Drosophila melanogaster: one gene and its partners. The protein of the gene in region 1 interacts with the protein of each later gene in a pairwise test. Each region holds a gene or a part of one and is shown on either strand. Other genes may lie near its edges. The genes, in order: Cip4, WASp and Cdc42.

Evidence for each region.
Region 2: the proteins of Cip4 (region 1) and WASp interact in a two-hybrid assay, tested with the Drosophila melanogaster proteins (3 studies listed by BioGRID, with this or other methods).
Region 3: the proteins of Cip4 (region 1) and Cdc42 interact in a two-hybrid assay, tested with the Drosophila melanogaster proteins (one study listed by BioGRID).

The regions. Positions count from the first base shown.
Region 1 is NT_037436.4:4,360,900-4,367,049, reverse strand, and holds the start of Cip4 (Cdc42-interacting protein 4), read left to right. Parts: upstream 1-3,075; 5' UTR 3,076-3,187; coding exon 3,188-3,302; intron 3,303-3,922; coding exon 3,923-4,023; intron 4,024-6,150. Other genes in the region: CG11342 (uncharacterized protein), read left to right, coding at 1-352; CG33514 (uncharacterized protein), read right to left, coding at 560-1,190, 1,250-1,554; mRpS6 (mitochondrial ribosomal protein S6), read right to left, coding at 1,840-2,238, 2,305-2,349.
Region 2 is NT_033777.3:28,828,954-28,835,103, reverse strand, and holds the start of WASp (WASp), read left to right. Parts: upstream 1-3,079; 5' UTR 3,080-3,286; intron 3,287-3,790; exon of another isoform or gene 3,791-3,885; intron 3,886-3,963; exon of another isoform or gene 3,964-4,110; intron 4,111-4,426; 5' UTR 4,427-4,485; coding exon 4,486-4,602; intron 4,603-6,150. Other genes in the region: Apc (APC-like), read left to right, coding at 1-1,869.
Region 3 is NC_004354.4:19,692,541-19,698,690, forward strand, and holds the start of Cdc42 (cell division cycle 42), read left to right. Parts: upstream 1-4,550; 5' UTR 4,551-4,612; exon of another isoform or gene 4,613-4,685; intron 4,686-5,394; 5' UTR 5,395-5,417; coding exon 5,418-5,705; intron 5,706-5,766; coding exon 5,767-6,054; 3' UTR 6,055-6,150. Other genes in the region: Mer (merlin), read right to left, coding at 1-417; CG14229 (uncharacterized protein), read right to left, coding at 2,027-2,324, 2,389-2,411. UniProt on the Drosophila melanogaster protein: Regulates mbt kinase activity and is also required to recruit mbt to adherens junctions. Together with mbt and Frl, regulates photoreceptor cell morphogenesis. Together with Frl, has a role in the neuronal development of mushroom bodies.

The DNA of each region.
Region 1 (6,150 bases):
TAAAACCTATATGGAGGTGAATAATCTCGAGAAATTTGATGCCATTTGCTGCTACTCCATTACCATGTGGATTCACTTGAATCACCATGATCAAGGCCTGCGATTCTTTCTGCAAAAGCTCTCCAATCTGGCAGAGCTCCTGGTGGTGGAACCACAGCCCTGGAAATGCTATCAGAAAGCAGAGAGACGCCTGAAAAAAGCCGGAGAGATATTCCCTCTTTTCCTGGAACTTAAGTGGCGATCTGATGTGGATCTTCAGATACAAAAGTACCTGGAAGAGTCTTTGGACCGAAGAAAGATATTCAAATCCGCACCAACTAAATGGCAGCGAAAGATCTGCTTCTACAGATGATAATAAAAGCTAAAAGGACAATGTTTATATAGGAGAAACCTAAAACTGCTGCGAAGTATCGTAGCATATTCATGTATTCCTATATTATCATTCCTACTATTGGATTTTACAATTCAACTGATGCGAATGTGTTTTCTAGCCACTAAATTGGACAACTTTTTCAACTGGCTGATAAGAAAATAAAATCTTTAAAGTTACAAACTGAAACTAGTCCACGTTGAGCTTTCTAAAGGAACCTTCTACTCCGAAAAGCCCCTCAAAATCGATTGGTTTTCCGGGACGCAGGCTCTCGTCGGTGCCGAAGTTCACATTTTCCTGGAAGAAATCGGCGTACTCGTCCAACTTCTTCTCCATGGCGGCCACGATGTCCTGCGTGGTGCCATTCTCGCCGCCGTATTCCTCGGGCAGATATTTCAGTGGAATCTGCTCCGTCAAGAGCCCCATTTTGTTGCCGTGCACAAATAGGCGAGACTGCATTTTCTTGGACATCATTGGCTTGAACATGTTGAACAGCTGCTCGAATCCGGTGATGGTGTTGATGAAATGCTGTGCCTTCAGACGCAGTGGAAGTGCCTCCTCCGAGAAGACAGTGAATTTCTTGGCCATCGACGGCGTCATCTGGAACAAGTGTGCGGCGGTGGCACCCTTCATGTCCATAATGAAAACTACTCCATTGACATTGGCGTAGTCGTCCTCCAAAATGGCAATCTCCTGCATTGCCTGGGCCACTTGCATGCACTCCAGCATTGTGTACTTCTCCACTGGCACCAATCCCATGCGCCAGATCCCGATGCGAGGTCCATTTTCATTCAGCGGAGTGGGCAGGTAGATGATGGCACTGAATTGACAGAATTGCATTGATAAATTAAATTAGTTAGCTGGCGTCAAAATCCTTACCCCGTTTGATGAATCTCCCGGAACTTGCTATCCGTGGTGTTGGTAACTCGGAAATAGTCCGGATACTTGGTCTTCAGCGTGTAGTACTTATCTAACTTGGACTTGGCCCGCTCCAAACTGTACTTGCAGCCGCGCAAGAAAGCCACCAGAAACTGATCATCCATTCGGGGATTTAGATGCGGCTGCTGCTCGATCCATGTCTTAAACGCCTGCAGATCGGCTTCGAGACGTTCGGGATCCTCCTTGAGCTGCTCCTTGGCAACTTTTTGCAGCTCTGGCGTAAGTGGACGGATTTGCGGTGACATTTCTAGGTCGTTTGCGGTCAGGAGGAAGTACTAGTGAACTGCTCGACGATTCTTGAGGCACTACCTGGACAATTTACGTTCTATTGATGGTCGATTATACGGAGCTTTATCAATTAATTGATAAGCGTCCGATTGGGCGCCATAAACCAAACAAAGACAAACATTGTGAAAAGTACTAAGATAACAGGCGCATTTCATAAGGAATGCTTCAGTTTGAATTAGCCAAAGATCGAGGAACCCACAACCGGTTTTAGCATACATAATTAACGCGTTTTATTTGGTGTTTTATTTTTGGAAGGGATAGTAGTCCAGGCCGGAGTTGTAGTTGAACTTCTTCTTTTGCTTCTTCTGGGCGGCCGCAATGATCTCCTGCACATCCTTGCGATACGCGGGTGGCAGCATCTCCTCGTGCAGCGTGCAGGGCTTCTGCTCGGGCTCCTCCACCTTGAAGATGTAGCGCCGTATGATGTCGATGTCGCGGCCAAACTCCTCCTTCAAGTCTGCGATCTTAGTGGGCGCCGTATCAAAGGCGATGGTGAAGTGGGTGCCTTCCCGGTGAACCACCCCGTGTTCGCTGACTTTGTGGGGCAGGGCGCGGGATCCCAGGTTCTCCAGCTTCCGGATAATGCCGCCCTTGTCCAGGATGGACTCGGCCGTTCGCCTAATCACGGAAATCAGTTCGGGCTGCGGGCGGTGTACAATTCTTATTTACTTTTATGTAACTGCCGGTGGATTTCATGTGCTACTCACGCGAGGCAATTGGCGGAGCACCAGTGCTAGTTCGTAAGAAGGCATTGTGACCGGTGAATTGTATGAGCTGGTAAGGAATTTAATTTCTTATATTAACGTTGTTTCTCTCAAGTTTTAATTCATTAAAAAGTTAGTAAATCTAATGTAATTGTTGACCCACCAGCTGATAGTGTTAACAGCTGATGCAAGGAAAGTACTAAAAATGATCTAGCGCCTGGCGCACATGCTTACACCTTACAGTGTGCCAAAATCTATTGCTCCAGTGAATTTAATGTTCAAATTAATATATTATATACAACAATAAGCGATGCTCTTGTTACTTTAAAAGCAATAAACAATAATAAGAAGTTTCTTCCAAGCTCAATAATAGCTTTCTTCATCTGTTTCAACGTTATGTTATTCCATAAAATTATTAGTTTTCAAGGCCACAATAATATATTTAAAAAGTCTACAATTAACGTTAAATTATAAAAAAAAATGGGGGCACGTATTAACGAAAGTTTCATATATTTTATATAATAATAATTAAACTTTACAGTTGCTCTCAATATGGGTTCATATCCCCGCTAGATGTTAAAGAGTTAGAAATTAGGTCGCCATCGGTCTCTGGTCACACTGCAAACGCAGAGGTGTGCCTATTCAAACACATTGCGGTCACACTGTGTATTGATGCCGAAGTGAAAAAACGAGCGGAAAGTTGCGAGCGGATAAAATTGTTTTTTCGCACGCCAAAAAGGAGAAACAAATGCTTGCGTTGTGTGAGTGCGGGTGTTTTAACTGTGTGCTTGTGTGTGTGTGCAAATGTCGCCCGAATTATGACGCATGCGAAAGTGCAGGCGCTAAATAAAACCCAAAATCGAAAGAAGTTGCAACTGCAAAGCAAATGCTAAAAAAAAAGTTAGCACAAATAACAAAAAAAAAAACGGTGGCAGATCTAGAAGCAGAGTGCGTGCATTCGGCAATTGCGTTTACTTGTGTGCGTGTGTGTGCGAAATTATGTAAATACAACAATAGTAGAATTCCAATTGTCCTCTCTTTCTGCTTTTCTCAATTATGAAATGCAGTTGCATCGCTCTCTATCTCTATCGCTCCCTCTCTCTCCTCACTCTCTTTGCGCATCGAAATGCCAGTGCATAGAATTTTCTTATTTTGCACTTATCACTAAACAACTCCCAAAAAAAGTGTTTAAATTCTCATTATCTATAATTTCCTTCAACTTCATTTTTCTACCTGCCGCTGCAACTGACACGTCTGCATTGCCACTCTTTTTTGTTTTTACATGCTTTCTTACCTGCCCAACCACCGAAAAAAAAAAAAACAAAAATGAAATATATCTGACTCGAATTGCTCTCTTTCATAGAAAATTAAACATCGCGCCGCGCAACGCTGAAAAAAATATAGAAAAACAAACGGAAAATGAAAACGAAAAAGCAGCCATAAAATTAATTAACCTTTGCGGGAAAATATAAAACAAAAACGAATAAAAGTTCTCATCTTTTGCTCTTCTCCCTCGCTTTCTACCTTTCTCCCTCTCTCCTCATCGTCTGTGGATTACATTATCTTCTGTGGATTATTATTATTAAAACAACAACAACAACGACGGCAACAACAAATACAGTGGCAAGCGGATCGAGCAGAAGCAGCAGCAACAACAAACTGGCCGAATCGGAAAACTCAGCGCAAAACTCCAACAACATGAGTTGGGGCACCGAGCTATGGGTGAGTTTTTCCTGGATTTAGAGGGGCTATATCTTCAGATAAGAAGTCGTATTTCATTGATAAAACAGGGGGTTCCTATAAGCAACAAATACATAGTTCTGCTTGTTTGAGGAGTATGAATGTATACCTATAGCTAAAAATCAAAACAAATTCGTAGTTTAGCTTGATCAGAATCATTAAGGTGTCCATTACCAGCTCAAAGAAGCTGGGGTCGGAAAAATCGAATTTTTGAAATTTGAAAGCTGGAATCGTTTGCCCATTTTTTGCCCATGTTTGCCCACCAATTAGTTTTTTTTGCCCACGTCCAGTTTTTGAGATATGAATTTTCGAAAAAGTTCGAAAATTTTCGAAAATCAAAAATTTCGCTTTTTTCAAATTTTTTTTTTTTAAATCGCAATAACATCGTTTGCCCACGTTTGCCCACCCTTTAGAATTTTGAAAAAATTTATACTTTAGAAAATATAAGGCTTTTAAGTTTACCTCGGTCTAATCAGAGAGTAAATCGTTTGCCCATCTCTTAAAACCAAATATTATCAACAAAAAACGTTTGCCCAACCATTATTATTAGTTTTTATCGTTTGCCCACCCTTTAAAAAACCTTTAACAAAAATTTTTTTTCGATTGCCCACACTTGAAATACAACTAATTTCGTTAGCCCACCTCTTCAAAATAAAACTTTTCAATAAAAAACGTTTTCCCACCATTTAAAAATAAATAATTTCGATTGCCCACCTTTTAAAACTAAATAATTTCGTTTGCCCATCCTTTAAAATTCATTTTTAACGTTTGCCCACCCTTTAAAATTTGTTTTTTTCGTTTGCCCACCTCTTAAAAATGGTTTTTTCGATTTTTCACCTATTAAAACTAAATTTGTACATATGTACATATGTAATAATTGTAAGATGTGGCGCCAAAAGCACAGTTACTTACAAAAGAACAGTTATTTACATATTTACATACATTTTCAATATATCCATAGTGTTAATCATTCATGAATTGTAACATCAATTTTTCTTAATCATTGTTTCATTTCATGGAAAATATTTTATATTGCAATATAATATATATGCAAAAAAATGTATGTATGTTTATCAACACTCTCCAAGCTCAAGAAAATTCTGGAATAAAATATTTTCCATGAAATGAAACAATGATTAAGAAAAATTGATGTTACAATTCATGAATGATTAACACTATGGATATATTGAAAATGTATGTAAATATGTAAATAACTGTTCTTTTGTAAGTAACTGTGCTTTTGGCGCCACATCTTACAATTATTACATATGTACATATGTACAAATTTAGTTTTAATAGGTGAAAAATCGAAAAAACCATTTTTAAGAGGTGGGCAAACGAAAAAAACAAATTTTAAAGGGTGGGCAAACGTTAAAAATGAATTTTAAAGGATGGGCAAACGAAATTATTTAGTTTTAAAAGGTGGGCAATCGAAATTATTTATTTTTAAATGGTGGGAAAACGTTTTTTATTGAAAAGTTTTATTTTGAAGAGGTGGGCTAACGAAATTAGTTGTATTTCAAGTGTGGGCAATCGAAAAAAAATTTTTGTTAAAGGTTTTTTAAAGGGTGGGCAAACGATAAAAACTAATAATAATGGTTGGGCAAACGTTTTTTGTTGATAATATTTGGTTTTAAGAGATGGGCAAACGATTTACTCTCTGATTAGACCGAGGTAAACTTAAAAGCCTTATATTTTCTAAAGTATAAATTTTTTCAAAATTCTAAAGGGTGGGCAAACGTGGGCAAACGATGTTATTGCGATTTAAAAAAAAAAAATTTGAAAAAAGCGAAATTTTTGATTTTCGAAAATTTTCGAACTTTTTCGAAAATTCATATCTCAAAAACTGGACGTGGGCAAAAAAAACTAATTGGTGGGCAAACATGGGCAAAAAATGGGCAAACGATTCCAGCTTTCAAATTTCAAAAATTCGATTTTTCCGACCCCAGCTTCTTTGAGCTTCCATTACCTCCTATATTCTTGGATATTAAAGAGGCGCTTATCTTCAGATAGGCTATATATATTGAAAGGCTCCAAACCTAAAATATAGATAGAAACGACAACATTGGTCTTATTAAGAAATTGTAAGCACTCATCAAAAATTACAAA
Region 2 (6,150 bases), on another chromosome or scaffold:
GCGTTCGAAGCGCGAGCTCTGGCGGAAAATCTACTCCAGCCCGCTGCCACTGACGATGACACCACGGAGATGACCTTCAGCTTGAACAGTTTGGATCTGGATAATATTCGTCCGCCGTCGGGAATGGAATCGCTGAACAGCTGCTACCAGGATCACTCCCAGCCTAGTTCTCTGCGCCAGGCGATGCCCAGCAAGAGTCCACGCTTCGCGCGAAAAATGTTTCCAGCCAATTTGGTAGCCAGACGAGCACTGGGTCACTTAGCTGGCAGTGCGGAGAGCGTGAACTCCAGCTGCAACCTGCTGGACAACATCAAGCCTCCGTCACTGATGGATGAGCTGCTGGACTCGATGATCAGTGTGGACAGCATTCAATCTGAGGTGGCCGATGGCGAGCAGGACTGCAGCATGGCCACCACCATTTCCGTGTCCAACTATGAGACGGCTGCTTGCGATGATCAGACGATGACCGTGCTCCAAAGTTGTTTCGACGAGGATGAGGATGCCACAATGAATGACTACAGCTCGGCCGAGTCCACACCCAAGCACGGATCTACTCCATCACCCAATCGTCGTTCCCTCACACCGAAAGACAAGCGACGTCTCACAAAGGATCGCTTCAAGACCTACACCATAGCCACCAGCTGCGAGATGGAAGCACCAGAGGCCAATGAAACTTTGCAGATAGAAATTGTGGAAGCTGCCGTTCCTGTGGCCACGCCATCGCCACGCGCCAATGGAAGGAGAAGGGGCAGTGCGGAGCGGTACAAGACCCAACTGATTGAATGTCCCCTGGCTTTGATACAACCCCAACCCGATGATTGCCCAAGCGAACAGCTCTCCTCAATTCGAGCAATGATGCAACAGTTCACTTTCATCACGGACATTAACATTGGACACAGTCAGGAGACTTGCGAGAGTACTGATCATCCAGAAGACGCAGGGGAATCCCCGGAGTGCGATCAGAACTCTGAGACGGAGTCGTGCGATGGTCAGGAACCGGATCAGCTGCCTCCTCCTCCGTCAATTGTGGACCTTAGAACATCAGTCGTTAAGCCCACAACCTTGGAGCCCGCCACGGCCGTAAAACTGGTGCGAGGTCGCAAGAAACCAGCCTATGTCTCACCCTACAGCATGCAAAGTCAACGGAATAGCAACAATGCCGCCCCGTCCAAGAAGAAAACCCTATCTCCAACAATTGCCAAACGAAGTCTGGTGCCCGGCGGTTCAGGAGTTAGGTTACCAGCGAAAAAGAAGCCGACGCCGCCGCCTGAGCCGGCACCCGCACGCTTGGAACGCCAGGGAACCTTTGTCAAGGACGAGCCCACTAACTCCAATGTTCAAGTGCCCGTGGTGGAGACAAAACCGGCTCAAACCAGTCCCACTCACCGCGCCTCGAAGTTACCCACAAAGAAAGGCACGGCCAGCGGTGGGTCACCATCGAAAGCGGGCTCTCCCAAGAGGATTCCCTTGGCGCCGGCCCGCCGAATGACGCCTCAAAGGGCAAACACCAGTCTGCGACTAGCTGCGGGCAAATCTCACGCTGCCTCACGTGTGGTCTCCGGCCGCGTGTCGTCCACTACTCCACCATCCCGCAGCAACTCCAACCTAAATGGAAGCAGTGCAGCCGCAGCAGCTGCGGCCAAGATCAACCATGCGCAAAGTCGTATCGCCAACATCTGGAAGAGAGTGGACGAGGCCAAAACCAAGCAATCGTCATCCAACCTGAGGACGCAGAAAACCAAATCTTCCAACATGCTCAACGCAAATGGAACCAAGCCGACGCTCCTGCGCAGCTCCACGTTTGACAATACCCCCAGCACCGCTGGAGGAGTCAAGTCCAAGCTGCCAGTGGTGGGCGCGCGGAAATAGAGGGTTAATTTGTTCAGGATAGTATGGATCACAAATTAGCCAAGTTAAAGCGAAAACGGAAGTGGAGATTGTAAGAGGAACAGGACTGTATTTGTCAAGCATTTTTTAGGAACCGAACACGCACAGGTCCACATCCACAAGCCGAGCTAGAGTCAGAGTCAAAATCAAAGAGTTTTTAGGATAGGAGTTAATATACATACGCTATGTAATCCATATTTTACTCTCCTTTTACTTTATACATTATACGTAGACCCTAAAACTTTGTAAGCAACCAGTTTAGCATAGAGTTAGCGCAAACTCCTAGTAACTTCAACTTATCCAAATCACAGTCAGAGAAGGAAGCTCCCGATGCTCCCGATCGTGTGTAGCCAAATGTATTGCATATATATACACAAAATCAGGCCTTTCAACATGTGTACAACTACCCAATATATACAAAATGTATACTGGCATATATATAAATGCTATATATTCGATTGTCGCATTAACTAGGAAAGGTTTACCAAGTCGAATGTCTGTTCTGATTTAACTTTTTTAACACTTAGTTAGATGAGCTGTCCTCCAACTGGTGAGCTACTGAAATCAATTACAATCATATAGTTGCACATCTTTATTGAGAATATACTCTAAGTTTAAAATATGCCCCTGGCTTCCTTATGCAAACACCAAATATCTGAAGAGAGAAGAAATTCACATTTTTTAGTCACTGCTTTTTAAGTATTCTTTTATATAATTTAGCAAGTTAAGGGTAACTGTTTTAGGAAACAGCTTATGCATTAAGCTCATCATTTGCGACTTAGTTTTTACCGATTCAATGCGATTAACCATTTTCAATATGAATAAATCGAAATATGCTTTTTGTCAGCAAAAAATTAAACCAATGTGAATTTACTCGATTATAATTTATATCAAAATAAAACATATTTTGAAAGCCAGATGAACAAATATTTATTCGAATTTACGGGCGTGGTAAACAAAATCAAATTTAACGGAAAAGATAACATAAATGAAAAAATATACTATTCCCACAGCTCTCCACTCGCGATTTCTTAACGGAATTGCCTGAAACTTTTTGATAAACTTTTAAGCGGAACTAGTGATGGGCAAAATTGAAAAGTCTCGAGCATGGTCTGCACAGGGCCTTGGCAGAGCTTGATGCATATTTTAGGAAATTATCGAAAGGATAGTATTTTTAGCCTATCGCCTTTTTCGGTCGGTCACACTGGCAGCAATTGAATTGGAGTGAAAAAAAATAAATGAATAAACAAACTAGCATTGCGTCCGGGAACAGACGAATAATCAACCGAGGAACACTCGTTTTCAACGCCATGCACTCGATGACGCGGACGCGCGCACAGTAGAGCCTCCCGATAAGAGTCCCGGAATCCGCAAGGCCAGAGACTACACAGATTTTGTGGTGTGTTGTGTTGTGTGTGGGAAAAAAACGAAAGAGTGAAGAGCAGTGCACGAAAATAAACGCAAAAAATCAATGGGCGACCCCCCCAGCAGAGCAGCTCACAAGGGAAATTCGAGACCTTGAGTAGGGCAGCACATCATCCCATCCCATCCAAGCCGAACCAACCCAACCCATGAACTTACTCCCAATCCGCAGCAGCGTCTGTCTATTTACATTTGCATTTTCACCCCACCTGGCGCGACGACGGACAGGTGTTGTCACAAATCTTGGAGCTACGGAGTGGCGCACAGTGGGGTGGATTGGCTGGTGGCTTGTGGCGAGTGCCGAATGTTGAGTAACCCAGACCACTGTGCATGTATCACACATAGATACATGCGCACACCTAATCAGTGCTTTTCGCCAAAGATAAGGGCTCTTTTCGAAGAGTTTGCCACTGGCCTGGCTTTTGCCCACATTCAAACGCAGCTGGCTGGCTTGCTGGCTGACTGTTTCTGTTTCTGCTTCTGATTTCCGACTCTCGGGCACCGTGACTCAGACCAGGCGATCCGCTCGCAGCCCCGCCGACACCATAACCAGCTACATCGTCATAGCCAGCGCAGGTCTCGGTCTCTCTCGCTCGCGCTCTTGGCCGTAATTCGGGCTGAAAACCATTCAAAACCGTAAAGACAATACTGTCAATCGATTCAGCAGTCCCAAAACCATAATTCTTCGATCCCAAATCGGGTTATTCGCAACACACTTCGGACTCCGTTGCTCAAACTCTCTGTAGATCGGAGTTTTTACAAGCTGTACACTGTACAAAAAAATAGGCAGCCTATCCAAGTGTAGTTATCTTTTTATATTCGAAGGCGTTGACTGCAATAATTCATTTAAACGTTAAATATTATACAGTTTCTGAACTCTTTAGTATATTTATGGGAGCTCAAACTTTTCATATTGTATCGTCAACCCTACGATCCCAAACTTTTGTTCACTCTATCGAAGTTCAACTGTTACTCCGTGTGCCTTTATTGTTATGAACTTTTTACTTTTTCGGGGTCCCCAGCGTTTTGTGATATTAAATTAATACATTTAGCTTTTGTTCATTTGCGTATTGTTTTCGCCACACAATAAAATGCGTATTGTGTCCGTATTGTGCAGGGAAACCAGCCCAGATCCCCATATCCAGCACCAGACCCAGATCCAACGAAACCGGCCAGATGAGCAGCGGAATGAGGTCGCAGGACGGTCCACGGGCGAAGGTCAATGCCGCCAGTACGCTGCTCACCCAGGAGGAGAATGAGGCCGTCTTCAAGCTGCTGGGCAAGAAGTGCCAGGTGAGTCGAGTACTGATGATGCATAATGCCCCCAATCGGGTGATTAATAATTAAGCAATGACATGGTTTGTGTTCCTCCGCCTTCGCCGAGCAAATCCCACGGCTTGATGAAGCACTTCCTGCGGCTCAAGTGTCGCCCATCGTGTGCGAATTTCACTCGAAGCACAGTAACCCTATATCATAATATCATTCTACGGTCTACGGGCAGCTGCCTGTCATATTTACCAAATTTCACTTGCACACTGCCCAACATAGTTGAATGGTTTCTTTGCCCATTTAAAGATGGCACCGGAAGCTAAACTGTGAACAAAATTAGAGTTCTATGCACTATAGTTAGTTGGTCAGCTATAAAACTTGCATGGGAGTATCGTACACATTATTAGCTTTGGTTTTGATTGAAAGACATACTCTTTTGCTGGAAAGTCTACTTGAGTCAGTGCAGATAACCATTTAGATTAATGTTCTCTGTACTATACAAAAAAAAAACAAGATGAATCATTGTTACACAGATGTTTTATGGTGCCCATACATACATATGTAGGTTACAACTTATTGGGCACTATTCTCGTATTAAATGCTCATTAAGAAATTAGGAGTATATAAGGAATAAATAATATTCATTCAGATCAGAGTCCGAATGTGCTGGCCAGTGTTACTAGAGCAATTTGTTAGACTTTGTTAACATTACTAATATTTACCTAGCATTTCTTAGAGCCTCTATCAGCAAACGGCTTGAGCCGGCATTGATAGGCCACAAGCGCAGTTGTTTGCACTTCTTGATTAGTTTTTTATTTCCAACTCTATTCCTTCGTAGTATTGGGGTGCCAAAGCCGATTGTGGTGCGAAACGAAAGAGAAACCATTAGTTTGGCCCATTGGGTCGTGATAAGAGTGGGGGTACATATAGTATTTGAGGCGAAATACAGACGAACCTTATCTTATCAATCCGCCCGCCCAATGCGAATCACCGGCCAATGCCAAGTGCGATAAGAATGCCCTGAAATTGGAGTGGAAACTTGGAATGTGGTCATTTAACGGCGGCCGTTGTGCGGATAATTATGGTGTGCACAACATGGGAAAATCGCTAATTTCGATTCGCAATTCACGCTTTGCTAATTCGCAACTTTCCATTGACAAAACATTTCCAAATGCATTTGAACTCTGCCAAAGTAATGCAACCAGTGGGCTGGTTAAGGCAGTTGGCCCCTTTTGAAGACACTCAGAAAGGCACTACCAATCCATTTCTCATATTTTTAGTCTCTGCTTTTGATTCACTGAAGCTACGGGTATTGGGCAAGTCAATGAAAACGTTCGGGGATTTGTAAATTATGTCATTAATCCCACATCTTTCGTTTGCCCTGCTCTGCTCTCTGAGATAAAGAAAGAGATTACCTGGTGGAAAATATTCAATCAATCACCAAACCATATCTTGTTTTCACCGTATCGAATGCTGCCCGTCTTTGTGCGATATCGTGTGATAACACACAAAGCTGCAGCTTAGCAAACCCGATGTTGTTATTGTGGTTTGGCAGTCGCTTGTCGCTTGTCG
Region 3 (6,150 bases), on another chromosome or scaffold:
CGCGTAGGAGGCCAGCAGCACGGACGCCTCCGGGCGGCAGTAGATGTCCATGGAGAGGATGCTCTGCTTGACCTGCAGGAAGAACAGGTGCTGCGTGATCTCCTGGATCAGCTCCTCGCTGACGTTCTCCGGAAAGAACTTGGCGTAGAAGCTAAACACATACACATTATTGCTAGCGTGCAGCTCAACGCGCTGGTCGCGCACCCGCTTCTCCATTTTCAGCCAGGACACGTTGCTGCGGGTGTCGACGTACTGCAGCCCAAAGTACCAAGACTCGCGCAGCCCGATGGTGCGGCACACCAGGTCGAACAGATCCTGGCCGGAGGCGCGCGGCTCCAGCTTGAACTCCAGCTCCGAGTCGAAGGTGCTCACCCGCACCGACAGGGATCGGTTTTTCTTGGAGCCGAAGGGGCTCATCGCGATTATGTGATGTGTTTTGATTAGATTCGACGCAATGTGATGTGATGCGTTAGATGCAATTGGATTGGAGTGGGAACTGAGTGCTCTTGTGGGCAATTCGTGATAACCTGTTGCGTGCAAAGGACTTGTTGCTCCTGCTAATCTGATTCTTGGTCCTTCTGGTGCTCCTGTGCCATCTAGTGGCACGATTCCTTGTTGCTGCTCCTGCGGTCCTCGCCTATCGCGGACTGCCTCATTTTGCAGCCAATTCGGTGCTCCGGGCAATGGCAATGGCAATTTGGGCTGATGGCTGTGAGCGGAAAGAAAGAAAGAGTAAGGCTCTTCGTTTATGCGGCGCTGCGATTTAAGAACTGCGTGGCCACGGCATCCTGGCGCCCACTATTCAACCGCTCACCCAGCTCCTTTGGCGTGGAAGCTGATTGAGGGTCGGCAGAAGGGTCTCCACATCGACCAAGTACGAGAATAGGCAACTTACTCGATTGTTTGCACCGCGAATCGCAATTGTACGACAAATTCCCGATATGCGCGACATAAACATAGACAGTGTGACCAGCCGTTAGATGCAGAAAAATCAGCTTTGGCAGACGCCTTGTATATTTAGTAGGGTGATTCCATTTCAATTTTATGGAGGAATCATAATGCTTAAATTAATCCATCTCAAACGACATAAAGCATTGAAATGTCAATATATGCACATGAAAACATATTAAATACCTTAAAAATATATTAACTTTCCATTTTCCAAAAGTTTTCAAAAACTGGCAAAACAGTGGTAGTCCAAATACCAAAATATACCGCAATATGTTTTTTCAAATTGTACACTCATTTTTAGTTATACGAATTTTTGAATGCTGCGAAATAGATTTGATCAGCTATTTGATGAAAGATGAATTAACTAAAATAACACAGTGCTATATAGAGTTGCCACCCTGTCAATGGTCACGAATTGGGAAAATGAAGTCCTTGAGCGCAATATTTGTTTTAAAGATTTGTCTAAGGATGAGATGTATTACTATGTAAATGTTTATTGGACGTATTCTTGTATTGCAGGTCCATGCTTAAATTCTCGGAATAAGCAAAATGACCATGTCAGCAGATGCGTATATAAACAATGAATAAGTCCAGCTTTCGTTTTATCAGGTCCCTGTAGCTTATTTTCCATCTCCACCGACTCAGCAATGAACTTGTACCCCCCTGGATATCGTATTTCATCGAAATAGGAAAATATAAAGATATGGAGGTTTTCTTACATTATTCTTAGAATAAATTATACATGCAGGATTATAAATACATATTGAAGGGATGGTAACCGATGAACATAGTTTATATATATTCATGTGCGTGTTTGGGGGACTCTTAGCTCAATTTATACTACTATTATTATGTGTATGCATCAGGGGTGATGCTAATGCCATGCAAGTAAACAATGCTTATCACACAAACGCAAGTGACTCCAGACACGGATATCCGAATCCGTGCGCAGAGAAGACTGAACGGAGGCGAATTACTTTGAACCTAGAGAGAGTGTTGCTGCAGATAACTCGTGTTGGCACTTAAATGGCTGTGCCAGGACTTGGACTCGCACACCGGAATCCATGATCACTAGCTACTGGCTGCTCCGCTTGATGCGCTCGACATGCAGGTCGTACAGCATCTTGTTCTTCTCGTAGTAAAATGGGTTTTGTTCGGCTCCCAGTTCTGGGTTGTATTCGTATCCGGCCGCCACACCGTTTCCGGCTGCATCGGACCCGCCGGATCCACCAGTCGCTCCTCCTCCCGACAGTGGCGGAATGCTGCAGCTGCTGCTGCTGCTGCTGTTCCCATCCTCGTAGTTCAGATTCAGGTTGTTGATGCGCTTCGAAAGGGGCGACTCGCAGGCCAGTTCATCCTCCCGGCTGCGCTTTCTGTGGAGGAATGGTGTGCGTTTGATTAGCGCTGGGACCTCACTACCTTGGTCAAGGTGATTACCTTGTCTTCAGGAATCCAGCCATTCCGATCCCGGGGCCAGTGCAGTGTGTTGGTTTCGGTTCCTATTGGTCAATTGTTTTGTCCTGCCCCGTTTCACAGCAGCGACATCCACCAGTGTGACTGCCTCGAAGTTCGAAATTGGCTGTGGGATATACCAATGGGTTGTGCTAAATATACCGCTAATCGAGGTTTGTTTTTTCTTAAATGGAAATCACAAATAGCCAACCCAAACAGCAGATATTGTTAAGAAAACCGAGATTATATTGTATCCAAACAAATAGAATATTTTTGGGAGGGAGGGATAAAGTGAATCTAAAAGTTGTCTCAGTGACAAATAGCGCCAAGTGAGAATATTTTATACCCAACAATTACTTCACGATGACACGATGAATACAGCTGCGGTTAAAATAATAACACTACTGCAGGTGGAAAGTTGATTTACCAAAAAAAATAATTAAATGTTTTATTTTTTTAAGTCAGATTGCATGAATAATAAGAACCATATGTTGTCTCTCTGAGCAAGAAATTTTTACTCTCTCAATGTAACGGTTCTTTTTGTTTTTGGGCACTTGCTGTGGTAACAAAAATAGCACCGATCACGTATTTGCTGAATACAATTAATAGGAGTGATTGCTTTGGGTTTTTTTTTCGACAAATTTTGAAAAAAGGAGTTGCAATAAAGGTTTTAATTGAATTTTTTCCAAACGAAGACAAAAAATTCTCTAGTCATGGGTCGCGGAAAGCATTGTACCGTCGAAAAAAGAAATTTGATTAAAAACATGATTTCTGAACGTAAAACCTACGCTGAAATTGGTCGCATTGTCGGTTGTTCAAACAAAATGATCCGCAAAGCACTGCTGTTTGTCGAAAAGAAGGAAACACGGCGAAGAGAGCCCTCAATGTCCAACGTGGAGATCAAGCGCTTGGTTTGGCAAAGCAAGAAGGAGTCTTTTAAGCCGGCGACGGAACTGAAGAAGGAGCTTCAGATAGCTGCAAGCGTGGAAACAGTTCGCAAACGCTTAAGACAAAACAACCTTAATGCGTGCAGCCCCAAAAAAGTACCGCTTTTGACTGTGAAGCATGTGGCAAAGCGAATCGAATATGCCAAGATACACAAGGACTGGCCTATGGAGAAGTGGTGCAACATTTTGTGGTCAGATGAGATCAAAATTGTGTTGTTTGGTGGGAAAGGCTCTCGGTCTTATGTTCGGCGTCCACCACGACGTCCACCACTAAATATAATCCTCGCTTCACCTTTAAGTCGGTAAAAAACGGGGGATCAAGCATCATGGTATGGGCGTGCTTTTCATGGTATGGAGTAGTTCCAATCCATTGGATTCAAAGCATCATGGATCAGCACATTTACTGTCATATGCCGAGGATGAAATGCCGTTGGTTTGGACATTTCAACAGGATAACGACCCAAAACACACGAGCAAGAAAGCTCAAAGTGGTTTGAGCAGAAGTAGATCCGAGTAATGAAATGGCCTGCTCAGTCACCCGACTTGAATCCAATCGAAAACCTTTGGGCGGACGTGAAAAAAGGGTTTCTGAAGCCAGACCCAATAATAACGAGGAATTTTGGGGTGTGGTCAAGGATTCAGGAAGCAAAATTCCTCAAAAACAGTGCCAGGACTTGGTGGAGTCCATGCCAAGACGATGTCCAGCTGTCATTACCAGCATAGGTCACGCAACCAAATATTAAGATTCTTTAAACATAGTTTTTAAGATATAATCCGTTTGTTTAAATTTTTTTAAAAATTTTTTAAAAAATTTTTTTATTTAGTTTTGGCAAACTACAAGAAACAGTGCTATTTTTGTTACCGCCTAAATTTGAAGGTTTTTTTTTGTTTTACCAATTATTTTATCCATTAGATCTGTTACTAATTTTTTTATTTCGATTGAAAATCATTGTAGTATTTAAGTTTAGTGAGTAAAATGATGAAAAAGTGTCAGAAAATACAGAAACACTGGGACAAACACGAAATCCGCTTATTATTGTTACCGCAACTGTATGCAGTATATTGGTCCCGCTCTGCCCGATCGGTCGGATATATAGCCCTTACAGTGACAGAGAACTTCCACCGAAAATACCAACATACCGATTGCGATGCAAGCCGGGTGGGAGTACTGCGACGGGATGGCAACGCCGCGCTAGTCACTCGCACGCAAAGAGCTCGCTGGAGAGAGAGAACGCTAACACAAAAGGAAATAGTAGTTTTCCGTACGTATCGAGCCCAGCCCAGAAAAGCGGAAAACTAAACGGATTCGACAGCGGTTGCAAATTTTAAATAACTGTAAGTAAGGCGGAAAAGGTGCCCGCAACGAGCATCCGCCGTATAGATCGCAACGCGTTTCAATTTGCCCAGTGAAAAGTGAATGAAAACCAAATGTCGATGACGGGCCTGCCTGCCTGTGTGTGTGTGTCATATGTGCGTGTGGTCCGTGCCGCAGTGTGCGTGTGTGATAAATAATTGCTTCCAAATTTCTTTAGTTTTTTGTCTGCAAATCTCGTCTAAAATCCGACTATAGCTAAAAACAGGGGGCAGCTCCAGCAGCTGACTGGGCGGCCAGTCCCGTGACCAAATAAACCATCATAAAGCCAGTAATAGTGCAGCAAAAACTGCATTAGACCAAGTGAACACGCACCGCACACACACAACCGCAAGCTGCCGTACTCGCTGCGCCCCTGCGCGCAAGTGTTTGCGTGTATGTGTGTCCAATCAGAATTTTCTGATGCCCGTCCGGCTTATCTGTGTGCGCCGTTGCTTTCCATTCTTTCCGTTCTTTCTTCGGCTTGAGTCATCGCTCATTCTGCCCAGATATGTACATATGTACATTGCACACACACTGCCGCCCCGCTCTCCTGGGCTCCGCTCCTCCTCGTTGATAAGGCGCCGCTGGCGAACGGTCACTCTGGCAGGAGTACGAGCAGGAGCAGGGAAGCCGCACCCACTAGTCATCCCCCCAGTGTAATCCGGCAAACTAACCCCCACTAATCCGCAGGAGTCATCACCCCTCTGCACAACATGCAAACCATCAAGTGCGTGGTCGTCGGCGACGGAGCCGTGGGTAAGACATGCCTGCTCATCTCGTATACAACCAACAAGTTCCCGTCGGAGTACGTGCCCACGGTGTTCGACAACTATGCGGTCACTGTGATGATCGGCGGTGAGCCCTACACACTGGGCCTGTTCGATACGGCCGGACAGGAGGACTACGATCGGCTGCGTCCGCTCTCCTATCCGCAGACGGATGTCTTCCTTGTCTGCTTTTCGGTGGTCAGTCCCAGTTCCTTCGAGAACGTCAAGGAGAAGGTACGTACAAGACTATTCTACGCCATGGCGAGACTGTAAGTGAGTCATTTTGCATTTGCAGTGGGTGCCCGAGATTACACACCATTGCCAAAAGACGCCGTTCCTGCTGGTGGGCACACAGATTGATTTGCGCGACGAGAACAGCACGCTGGAGAAGCTGGCCAAGAACAAGCAGAAGCCCATCACCATGGAGCAGGGCGAGAAGCTGGCCAAGGAGCTGAAGGCCGTCAAGTACGTGGAGTGCTCGGCCTTGACACAGAAGGGCCTGAAAAATGTATTCGACGAGGCCATCCTGGCCGCCCTCGAGCCACCAGAGCCCACAAAGAAAAGGAAGTGCAAATTCTTATAATTCTGCTTTCCTCACACGCGGTATCCCTTTCATTCTGGCTTTCTACTATCGCAATGACTCCTTCCCAGCCTCCCGTCGTCGAGAAGCATTCAATAT